Linked DNA regions of Caenorhabditis elegans. The protein of the gene in region 1 purifies or fractionates together with the protein of each later gene. This does not show direct contact. Each region holds a gene or a part of one and is shown in the gene's direction. Other genes may lie near its edges. The genes, in order: Y25C1A.8 and ssb-1.

Region 1 (7,905 bases):
GTCACTGGGCACGTGGATGAGTGTGTAGCATGGTTGCTCTCCGGAGCTCATTGTGGAGGAGCTGGAAATTCGGGTTTTTTGTGGGGAAAAGAAAGAAAAAAGTAGAGAAAGTTCACGTTTTAAAAAAAAATTTGTGAAAAAATTGAATTTTCCAGCTAAATCGCATTTTTCTGTGAAAAATCATCGAAAATCATCGAAAAACGCCAGAAAATGAATAAAAATCGTCAAAATACGCTGGAAAACCCCCGAAAATCGCCTTTAAGCATGAAAAATGCCCAAAAACGTCAGAAAATGGATAAAAATCATCAAAAAACGCTGTAAATGACAAGAAAATCACTCTGAAGCATGAAAAATGCTCAAAAACATCAGAAAAATCAAAAACATCAGAAAAATTGAATTTTTGACCATTTTTAACCCTAAAACTCTTCGAAATCCAGCTGAAAACCCGATTTTTTAGTCAAAAATTCCGTTTTTTGGCGTAAAAATCGGAAAATCCCGGCTTTTAACCTAAAAATTAGGTGTTTACTGAAAATTTCCAAATTTTCGGCTAACAATCCCCATTTTCAATCGATTTTTTCCATTTTTCACTGAAAAAATCAATTTTTTAGCTTAAAAATCGAAAAATATCGGTTTTTAAGCTAAAAAATCAGATTTTTACTGAAAATTTCCAAATTTTCGGCTAAAAATCCCCATTTTCAATCGATTTTTTCCATTTTTCACTGAAAAAATCAATTTTTTAGCTTAAAAATCGAAAAATATCGGTTTTTAAGCTAAAAAAATCAGATTTTTACTGAAAATTTCCAAATTTTCGGCTAAAAATCCCCATTTTCAATCGATTTTTTCCATTTTTTCAGTAAAAAATGCCAAATTTTTTACTAAAAATGCAAATTTTCTGACTGTTCTTGTAAAAAAATTGAAAAAATTCAATTTTTTGGACAATTGTATGCAAAATTCGCCTTTCCCTCGGTTTTTTTTTGTGGTAAAACCCCGCGAAAATTCGCTTTTTTTGCCTTAAAACTTAATTTTTAATGGAAAAAAAAACGCGAAAAGTTGCAAAAATCCACAAAAAATGCGATTTTTGTTAGTTTTAGCTGAAAAAAATTGCATTTTTCAGCTAGAAATCTGAAAAATCACACAAATTGTTGCTAATAATGCAATTTTTGCCAGTTTTGGCTGAAAAAATTGCATTTTTCAGAAAAAAATACTGAGAAAACCACCAAAATTCTGCTGATAATGGGATTTTTTGTCGTTTTTGCCTGAAAAAATCGCATTTTTCAGCAAAAACTGTAACTTTTTCTGCAAAAAACACAGAAAATCGAATTTCTAATGGAAAAAAATCGCAAAAATCCACAGAAAACTACGGAAAAAGTTGCGAAACTTGATTTTTCACAAAATTCTCTCATTTCGCCTGGTTTTTATTGATTTTTTGACAGAAATCTAGGCTTTAAAGCTGTAAAACCCAATTTTCAACGACAAATTGATTTAAATTGACCTAATTCAACGCCACGTCACTTTTCACTCTTTCTACCTGTTTTTTATCGATTTTTGCCGCTTTTTCGACTGAAATATAGCTTTAAAAGCTTCAAAAATCAATTTTTAACCTCAAAAACCCACGAAAAAACGAAAAAATCCGCTGAAAACCGGCAAAAATCCACGTAAATCGCCGGAAAAAGATTGGAATCTAGATTTCTCGCACAGTGACGTGGTTCTCGCCATCCACCGTACCCCGTGACACAGCGGCGGGCAAATCGTGGCGAGACCCGGCCGCATTTTGAAATGTGATAATTTACACGGAAATCGACACAAAAAGCTTAAGTTCTCTCGGTTTTTCGTGTTTTTTTCACGAATTCCTAGTGATTTTTTATTTTTTATTCAAAAAAACGCAATAAAAACCCGATTTCAGTCAGTAAATGTCGTCGAAATACGACGATGATCGAGAACAAAAGCGTCGAGCGCTGAAAGACGGTGAATGGGCGTGTGTCGACTCGAAATGTGCCAAAGTAAACGAAGAATCACTTCTTGTATGTGATGAATATGGAAAACGTGAGGTTTTCGACGATTTTTCACCCCAAAAATTATCGATTTTCAGCGAAACCGCGCGCGAAAAGCAAAATTGGCAAGGAGCTGGGCAAGGAGCAGGCGGAAAAATCGAAAGGACTATTTGCAGCTGAAGATTGGGTTTGTTCAAAGTAAGATTTTGATTTTTACCGAAAAATTGGAAATTTTCAGTAAAAACCTAGTTTTTAAGCTAAAAAACCGGGATTTTTGCCTGAAAAAATTGAAAAAAAGATTAAAAATTGGAAATTTTCAGTAAAAATCTATTTTTTAAGCTTAAAAACTGGGATTTTTCGATTTTTAAGCTAAAAAATTGGCATTTTTGCCTGAAAAAGTTGAAAAAATCGGAAAAAAATGCAGATTTTTTGCTGAAAAATTGAAAATTTTCAGTAAAAATCTGTTTTTTTAGCATAAAAACTGGGATTTTTCGATTTTTAAGCTAAAAATCAAAATTTTCGCTTGAAAATATTGAAAAAATTGATAGAAAATGCAGATTTCTAGCCCAAAAATTGAAAACTTTCAGTAAAAATCTAGTTTTTACGCTTAAAAACCGAGATTTTTCGATTTTTCAGCAAAAAAATTGGCATTTTTGCCTGAAAAAATTGAAAAACTCGATTAAAAATGCAGATTTTTAACCGAAAAAGTTGGAAATTTTCAGTAAAAATCTATTTTTTAAGCTTAAAAACTGGGATTTTTCGATTTTTAAGCTAAAAAATCGGATTTTTTGCCTGAAAAAATTGAAAAACTCGATTGAAAATGCAGATTTTAGCAGAAAAATTTGGAAATTTTCAGTAAAAACCTAGCTTTTTAAGCATAAAAACCGAGATTTTTTGATTTTTAAGCTAAAAAATCGGAATTTTTGCCTGAAAAAATTGAAAAAACCCAATTTCCAGGTGCGGAAACGTTAACTGGGCTCGCCGACGGACGTGTAACGTGTGTAATGCTCCAAAATTGGCGGATTTGGAGCGTAGAACAGGCTATGGAGGTGGATATAATGATCGGCAGAACGTTGAATACGTAAAACGCGATTATGATGAGGAATTCGACGAGTTTGGGCGGAAAAAGAAGAAAAAGGGTGAGGTTCGTGCGGAAATCGGATGGAAATCGGGCGAAAAAACACGAAAAACGGCCCAGAAACGTCAGAAAATGGATAAAAATCATCAAAAAGCCCCGGAAAATGCTCAAAAAAAACCTGAAAATGGATAAAAATCATCGAAAAACGCCAGAAAATGAATAAAAATCGTCAAAATACGCTGGAAATGACCAGAAAATCACTCTGAAGCATGAAAAATGCTCAAAAACATCAGAAAAATTGAATTTTTGACCATTTTTAACCCTAAAACTCTTCAAAATCCAGTTGAAACCCCGAATTTTCAGTCAAAAATTCCGTTTTTTTGGCGTAAAAATCGGAAAATCCCGGTTTTTAACCTAAAAAATTAGGTTTTTACTGAAAATTTCCAATTTTTGGGCTAAAAATCTCCATTTTCAATCGATTTTTTCGATTTTTTTCCAGTAAAAAATGCCAATTTTTAGCTTAAAAATCGAAAAATTCCGGTTTTTAGGCTAAAAAATCCAAAATTTCAGCTAAAAAATGCATTTTCTATCGATTTTTTTCCATTTTTCACTGAAAAAATCAATTTTTTAGCTTAAAAATCGAAAAATTCCGGTTTTTAGGCTAAAAAAATCCAAAATTTCAGCTAAAAATGCATTTTCTATCGATTTTTTTCCATTTTTCACTCAAAAATCGAAAAATATCGGTTTTTTAAGCTAAAAAATCAGATTTTTACTGAAAATTCTCAATTTTTGGGCTAAAAATCTGCATTTTTTTCTCGATTTTTTCAATTTTTTTTGCACTAAAAAGTCCGATTTTTTAGCTTAAAAATCAGATTTTTACTGAAAATTTTTGAATTTTTGGTAAAAATCTCCATTTTCTATCGATTTTCTCCAATTTTTGACAGTTTTCAGCCGAAAAATCGAAAAAAATACTACAAAAATTTCGATTTTAATCCTAAACCCTGTTTTTCAGTCAAAAAACTTGGAATTTAGCAGATTTTTTTTGCTTAAAAATCGAAAAATTCTCAATTTTTCGGTTAAAAATCCAAAATTTCAGCTAAAAATCACCATTTTCTATCGATTTTTACCAATTTTTCACTAAAAAATTCAACTTTTCAGGATCAATTTCGAGATATGGAGGAAGGAGAAGCTTCGGATGATGAAGAAATTGCTGTAAAAGATGATTTGAAAAAACGGACTCCACGTGGAGAAGATGAAGCCGACGAAGACGATGAAGCCGATGAAGATGAAGATGAGGATGGAGAAGATCTTGGAAAATATAATTTCGATTTTGATTCCGATCCGGAATTAGTGGAAAAAGTCGAGAATTTGAAGAGCAAAATTGTGGCGGTGGCGGCAGCTGGCTCGGAAGCCTGTGATGACAGCGAGTTAGTGCGAAAAATGAGGAAAAATGGATGAAAATTGACGAAAATTGGCGAAAAAATGAGGAAAATCGCTAAAATTCGCCAAAACTTGACTGAAATTGGCGAAAAATCGCTAAAAATTGAGAAAAATTGACCGAAAATTGAGGAAATTGACGTTTTTTTACCAGAAAAATTGAATTTTTTCGCTGAAACGTTGCTAAAATCGAAAAAATGACCCGCTTTGTAGCGGAAAATCAATTTTAAATTGACTAAAAATTGAATAATTCAGCTTAAAATTTAGAAAATTTGCATCAAAACAACCTAAAACCATACTTATTCTCTGAAAATCCCTCCTTAAATTCGCTGAAAAACTCGAAAATTTGCCCGAAAACTGGCTGAAAAGGCTGAAAATTGTGTACATTTTTATAATTCTACCTGGAAAAATGCTTAAAAATCACAGAAAATTGAATTTTTCGACTAAAAACGTCTAAATTTCAGAGAAAAATCAAGTTTTCATCGGGAAAATGCTAAAAATTTGATGAAAATATCGATGTTCTTCCTCAAAAAATTGAAAAAATCACTTTTTCTCCGCGAAAAAGGTGAAAATTGCTCAAAATCCATCAATTTTTCGATTTTCTACCTTAAAAAATACAGAAAAATCACTTTTTCAGTGGGAAAATACCAAACTTTTCCTGAAAATATCGATTTTCGTACTTAAAATTGCTCAATTTTCACATTTTCTGCCTCAAAAACTACAGAAAAATCATTTTTTCCTACTGAAAATCCCAAAAATTCACTGAAAATGCCGTTTTTAGTGCTCAAAATTGCTCAATTTTCACATTTTCTACCTCAAAAATTACAGAAAAATCACTTTTTCTCGGCGAAAAAGCTGAAAATTGCTGAAAATTGGCTCAATTTTCATATTCTCTACCTAAAAAAGCAATGAAATCACGCGAAAATGCCAAAAAATTCACTGAAAATATCGATTTTCGGACTTAAAATTGATCAATTTTAATATTTTTTAACTGAAAAAGTTAAGAAAAGTCGGTTTTTCGCTGCGAAAAAGCTGAAAAATGCTCACAATTCATGAATTTTGCGGTTTTTTTGCCTCAAAAAGTTGAGAAAAATTAATTTTTCAGTAGGAAAATGCCAAAAATTCACTGAAAATGCGGTTTTTAGTGCTCAAAATTGCTCAATTTTCACATTTTCTGCCTCAAAAACTTCAGAAAAATCACTTTTTCCTACAGAAAATCCCAAAAAAAAAACCAATCTAAAATTTTCAGATGCTCATGCTCATGCTCGGGCGGTGAATGCTCTTGCCCAGAAAGTGAAGATGAAAAGGAAAAAGATCGTCGAAAAATGCACAAAACATCACGAGAAAGGGATCGTGAAAGCCATCGGAAACGGAGCAACTCACCGAGAGATCGTGATAGAAAGAGAGGAAAAAGAAGTCGGAGTAGAAGCCGAGAAAGAAGTTATCGGGATGATCGGAGAGATCGCAAGAGGTGCGGAAATTTGCTGAAAATTGGCTGAAAAATCGCTGGAAATTCGTCGAAAATTACCCGAAAATTCACCGAAAATTGCCTAAAATTCGCTGAAAAATGGATGAAAATTCTCTAAAAAATGGCCTAAATTGGCTGGAAAATCGCTGAAAATTCGCCAAAAAATTACTTAAAAATGGCCGAATTTCGCTGAAAATTCGTCGAAATTGAATGAAATAAGAACTCCCTGAAAAATGGCTGAAAATTCGCCAAAAATTCGCCGAAAATTCCCCGAAAATTCGCCGAAAATTCCTCGAAAATTCGTCGAAAATTCCCCGAAAATTCGCTGAAAATTCACCGAAAATTGCCTAAAATTCGCTGAAAAATGGATGAAAATTCCCTGAAAATTTCCTGAGAATCCTTTGAAAATTCCCTAAAAATTCGCTAAAATACGCCAAAAATTCGCCGAAAATTCCCTGAAAATTTCCTGAAAATTCTTTGAAAATTCCCTAAAAATTCGCTAAAATACGCTGAAAATTCGCCAAAAAATGGCAGAAAATTGCCGAAAATTCGATGAAAATTCGTTGAAAAATCATTTAAATACGCCAAAAATTCGTTGAAAATTCGCTAAATTTAGCAGAAAATTCCCTGAAAATTCGTCGAAATTGTGCCTAAAAATGGAAGAAATTTGCTGAATATTGGCCGAAAATTGGCTGAAAATCGCCAGAAAATTAAAAAAAAATTTGCCAGTTTTTTGCTGTAAAATCAGATTTTTCGAGCTCAAAAATGCGAATTTTCATGAATTTTTTGCCATTTTTCCTGTAAGAAACCTTCGAAAATTGTGTAAATTTGCTAGAAATCAACGAAAAAAGTACAAAATAACTGCCGGAATTTTAAATTTTCAGCTCAAAATGTGAATTTTCTGAGAGTTTTTTAAAATTTTTTGAAGCGAAACCCTCGAAAATCGTGCAAATTTCCTAAAAAATCGACGAAAAAATACAAAAAAACTGCCGGAAAATCGATAAATTTGCCAAATTTTCGCTGAAAATTGCTCTAAAATTGGAATTTCGAGGTCAAAATGCGATTTTTCTTGAATTTTTCCAAATTTTCTCGGAAAAAACCGTCGAAAATCGTGCAAATTTCCTAAAAAATCGACGAAAAAATACAAAAAACTGCCGGAAAATCGATAAATTTGCCAAATTTTTGCTCAAAATTGCTTTAAAATGGGATTTTTAAGCTTAAAAATCGATTTTTTCCGCACTTTTCCCCGTTTCCAGCCAAAATTCCCCATTTTTTTTGCAGATCTCGTTCTCGCGAACGCCGCCGTTCCCCGCCACGTGGCACCACCAGTGATAGACGCCGAGACGACGAGAGACGCAGAGAAAAAGAGCGACGAAGAAGCCGATCGAGAGACAGATTTCGACGATAAAAACGCTAAATTTCGCCGTTTTTTCGCCATTTTTTCACAATTTTATTGATTTTTTCGCTCTAAAACCACCAGTTTTTCCGTTAAAAATTGCTAGTTTTTACCCAATTTTTCCATTATTTTATTGATTTTTTGCTTGAAAATTCTCCGTTTTTAACCGTTTTTTTTCCACTATTTTATTAATTTTTGTTGCTCAAAATCCCGATTTTTTCTCCGTTTTCTCTTGAAAAATCATCTCAAAATATCGAATTTCTCACGGTTTTTATCATATTTTTGTGAAAAATTTTTGAATTTTCTCTGTAATTTTATTGATTTTTCGCATTTTTCTGACTTTTTCCACACGGTTTCTAGCCGATTTTTATCTATTTTTACCTATTTTTTCTCGAAATTTTACAATTTTTAATATAATTTCTAGAAACCCAACAACGTGACAGCCCGAAATGGATTTAAACTTTCAAAGTGAGTTGGCAAAATTTTTTAAACAAAAAAATACAGTAGAAAATTGCGAAAAAAAATTTATTTTTCG
Region 2 (4,072 bases), on another chromosome or scaffold:
TTTTCTTCGTTTTTTAAAATAAAAGAATGCATTTGAAGTTGAAAAGTGAATAAGAATTTTTTAATTTGTTTATGAATTTCATTTCATCAACTTTGGCATAAAATTCATTAAAACGACGGAAAACTAAACAAAAAAAGACAAAAAGTGCTTGAAAATTGGTGAAACTAGTCAGAAATGTTTGAATTTTCGGTTTTGCCACCAAATACCTAACAAGATCAATAAAACTTGATGTACTTATTATTGTTGAAAACTTTCGGGGGCTTTAATTAATTTTTTTAATTTTTTCTTAAAATTTAAACTTCCATACTTCAAAATTCTCGCCAACGCTGCATAGTACAATTCGTTCGCGAATGTTTCATGATCCTTCATCTCGGAGAATAAATCAAAAATGCTCTTCTCAATAAGACCAGCCGCTTGTTTCGCCGAGTCTGGGCTTGAATCGATTTTCACAGAATCCCACTCCTGATTCATCATTTTACGCGCTGTTTCTTCAAGATCAGTGTTCCAAATAGCTGAGAAAAGTCGACGAGTCAATCCGAATTCAAGAGCGAATCCCTTGCAAATTGATGTGATCTGTTCGGAACATTTTGTAGAAGATGCAGTAATGGAATCCATATGCACAAAATTAGAAGAAGTCGAAGAAAACTTGGAAATATCGATTGATTCCATCATGATTCGCCATTGTGGTTCAATTGCACCTTCGGTTATAGATGTCATTATAGGCATCCAAACATCCGGAGAAAATGTTATTGGAGGTAGATTTACAAGTTTTTTGATTAAAATTCGCATTGCTTCGCAGATAATGTCGACATCGCTGCTTACATCTGGAAAAATAATAGATTCAGAACGGATCAGGGTTTTTTTTGTTGGAAAAAAAAGGATTTTTTTGGTGTTTTCCACCCAAAAAAGCATGTAAATAAAATCATTCTAGAATTCCTTACAATTTTCAACAACCCGTAGTCTGTAAATAATTGCTGCAATCGATTCTCCGTCGAAATCCTTTGCCGCATTTTCGGTGACATATCGGACAAGTCCGATTGCCGTTTCACGCGGATCCATTAATCGAAATTTCAATTAATTTTGTATTTTCTGGAAATAATTGATTAGAAAATCGATATAATATTTCAACAAAGCAAGATGTATTGCGTTAACTTTCGCAATCACGAGGCAATATAAATAAACAAAAAAGAAATACAGAGGTTTTCTTTGTTTTACAAAGTTTTATCAGCTGAAACTTTTGTTTCTCGAAATTTTCGTTATTTTATTATTATTTTTAATCGAAAATTCATCAAAATTTCCCATCTCAACAGAGGAAAAACAGAAGAACAACAAAAAAACGAACAAAAATAATAAATAACAAGTGGGCGGAGCATCAATTGCGTGCGCCGTTTTTGCATAAAGTGTGTGCCAGGGTTGCAAAAAATCATTTTCGAAACTTCAAACTCATTGCACACATTTTTTATATTTTCTTTTTATCGGTCGCTGTTATTCCTTTATTTTTTTACATTTTTTAAAAGAAAATCAAATTAAAATTAACATTTAATATTTAAATAATCAACTTTTGGAAAATATACTTCGAGAAAATCTCAAATTCCCTAGTTTTTAGGCGTTCTAGGCCTAATTTCACCTAGTTTGATTATGTTCAGTTTAATTATCGAGCAATCAACTTCAGGAATTAGAAAACACGTTAAATGAGTTTTCGCATTACTGAAAGTCGAAGTTTGAAGTAAGATTTGTTCCAAAATGTTACATGCCTTGTTTCTTCTGTTTCGTTTTCGTTTCTGTTGTATTCTCTGTTAATTTGTATTATTCAGCAAGAAAATGGGTGAGACCGCTGCCGCCGTTCACGACGATGCTGATCAGAAGATCATTAAGCAATTGGAGTATTACTTCGGAAACATCAATCTTCCAAGAGACAAGTTCCTCCAGGAAAAACTCAAGGAAGACGATGGATGTAAGTTGTTTTTCTTCAATTCTAAGATTGTTGATTTTTCATTTCAGGGGTCCCAATTACCACGATGCTCAATTTCAACCGCCTAGCCTCGATCAGCAAGGACACTGAAAAGATTGCCAACGCTGTCAAGAACTCTGGTTCGGGAATAATCAGCGTCTCCGAAGACAACCAGAAAATCCGCAGAAACGAAGAGAATCCAGTACCGGAGAACTCGTTGGAGTACTGGCAAAAAATCAAGCACAGAACTGTGTATATGGTACGTTTGTATCTTTCTGATTTTGTCTTTACATTATCAATTTCTCATTTTTCAGAAAGGATTCAGCACTGACACCCAATTGGACGACATTATTCAATGGGCCAATCAATTCGGAGAAACCGAGAACGTTCTTATGCGTCGCTTGAAGCCAGGAGACAGAACCTTCAAAGGAAGTGTGTTCATCACTTACAAAACTAGAGAGGAGGCCGAAGCCGCACAAAAGGCTGAAGTTAAGTTCGGAGAGACAGAGTTGACCAAGATGATGCAAGATGAGTATTGGACTCTGAAGAACAAAGAAACCAAGGAAGCTCGTGCTGCAAACAAGGCTGCCAAATCAGCTAAGAATACTTCTGAAGCGATTGAATCAGAAAAGGCTCAGCACGCTGTCCGTTACGAGAAAGGTCTCATTCTGGCCGTTGATGGACTTGGACCTGATTCAACTATTGACAGCATCAAGACTTTCTTCAAATTGCACGGATCTGTTGGATACGTTGCACATGAAAATGGAGGCAAAACAGCCGAAATCCGCTTCAACAATGACAGCGAAGGAGCGCAGAAGGCCTGGGACAACGCTGTTGCAGCTGGAACTGATGGAAAAGTCATTCTTCAAGAGGCTGAGCTCTCCGCACGAGTTTTGGATGGAGAAGAGGAGGAGAAATACTGGACAGAGTTCAATGCCAGAAAGAATCAGAGGCAAGGAGGTGGACGTGGAGGACGCGGTGGTCGTGGCGGACGAGGAGGCCGCGGTGGTCGTGGAGGTCGTGGTGGAAGAGGTGGACGCGGAGACCGCCGAGGTGATAAGCGGTCAGCAAACGATGAAGGTGCAGATGGATCTGATGAGCCAAAGGCTAAGCGTACTGTGTTCGCTGAGGATGGTGCTCCAGCTGCTGCTGCCGCCGAGTAATTTCATCTTTTGTTGAACAAACCCAAAAATCTCATTCTTTTTTTTTTACTTTTTCCTCCATTTTTTGTTGTTATCATTATTGTTGTGTTGTCCCCCCATTCATTAATCTTGAATACCCTCATTTTGTTGACTTCTCACTCTTTTTAACATCTCTTTTACTGTATTATTACCAATTTAAAAGAGTTGCGGTTTTGATTTATAAATTATTCGGATAAACCAAAGTTTTAGAGTAGCAGACCGGAAAAAAAGAAATTGCAGATCACTCGGAACAGGGAACATGGAAAATGCATTCTTCTGAAAGTTCAAGTTTGCTGATCAAATAGGCAACTTTATGTCTAAATTCTTCGGAATCACAGAATCTTCATTACAAAAATATAAATGTTAAAAAAACGTATTATCAAACAGAATTTATTTAGGCTCCGTACTTGGCGATGAGCTCCTCAACAAGAGCAACATAGGCCTTCTGAGCATCATCCTTTGCGAGTCCCTTCTTCTCATCCCAGGCAGACCACTTGGCTTTTCCCTTCAAATCGAACATTCCTGGCTTATCGGTGGTGTTGTCGCCGACGGTTCCTTGTTTGAACAGAGCATAGAGCTTGAGAAGCTCATCATTCGATGGGGAAGTCTTGAGGGTCTTAACGGTGGCAGCAGCGTCGTCGAACTGAAAATTGAAAAGACTTAGTGAGATTTTATTGGGAAAATATCAACATTTTGCTTCAAAAAATCTAAAGTAGTCTCAAATTCAGAAAAAAATCGCCAAATTATAAAAATGTCTCTTTTTCAATTTTGACTAAGTTCCCTCCGCTATTTTGAAGGGAATTTGCCAACATTGAAAAATCACGGTTTTACAATTATTGCTTTCTGTTGTTGTCATTATTCTGAATTTGAGATTATTTTGGATTTTCTACATCGGAATTTGAAGCTTACCGAGAGGGTCATTTTGAAGACGATGAGAAGA

Evidence for each region.
Region 2: the proteins of Y25C1A.8 (region 1) and ssb-1 fractionate together in Caenorhabditis elegans (co-fractionation; one large-scale study listed by BioGRID). This does not show direct contact.

The regions. Positions count from the first base shown.
Region 1 is NC_003280.10:3,070,952-3,078,856, reverse strand, and holds Y25C1A.8 (Zinc finger Ran-binding domain-containing protein 2), read left to right. Parts: upstream 1-1,903; 5' UTR 1,904-1,910; coding exon 1,911-2,043; intron 2,044-2,089; coding exon 2,090-2,189; intron 2,190-2,948; coding exon 2,949-3,135; intron 3,136-4,227; coding exon 4,228-4,496; intron 4,497-5,755; coding exon 5,756-5,977; intron 5,978-6,461; exon of another isoform or gene 6,462-6,512; intron 6,513-7,255; coding exon 7,256-7,382; 3' UTR 7,383-7,673; downstream 7,674-7,905. Other genes in the region: copb-1 (Coatomer subunit beta), read right to left, coding at 1-51; Y25C1A.7 (Yip1 domain-containing protein), read left to right, coding at 7,820-7,838.
Region 2 is NC_003279.8:4,632,289-4,636,360, forward strand, and holds ssb-1 (Lupus La protein), read left to right. Parts: upstream 1-1,814; 5' UTR 1,815-1,821; coding exon 1,822-1,954; intron 1,955-2,001; coding exon 2,002-2,210; intron 2,211-2,265; coding exon 2,266-3,114; 3' UTR 3,115-3,327; downstream 3,328-4,072. Other genes in the region: ubr-4 (UBR-type domain-containing protein), read right to left, coding at 308-824, 942-1,059; acbp-1 (Acyl-CoA-binding protein homolog 1), read right to left, coding at 3,527-3,775, 4,042-4,053.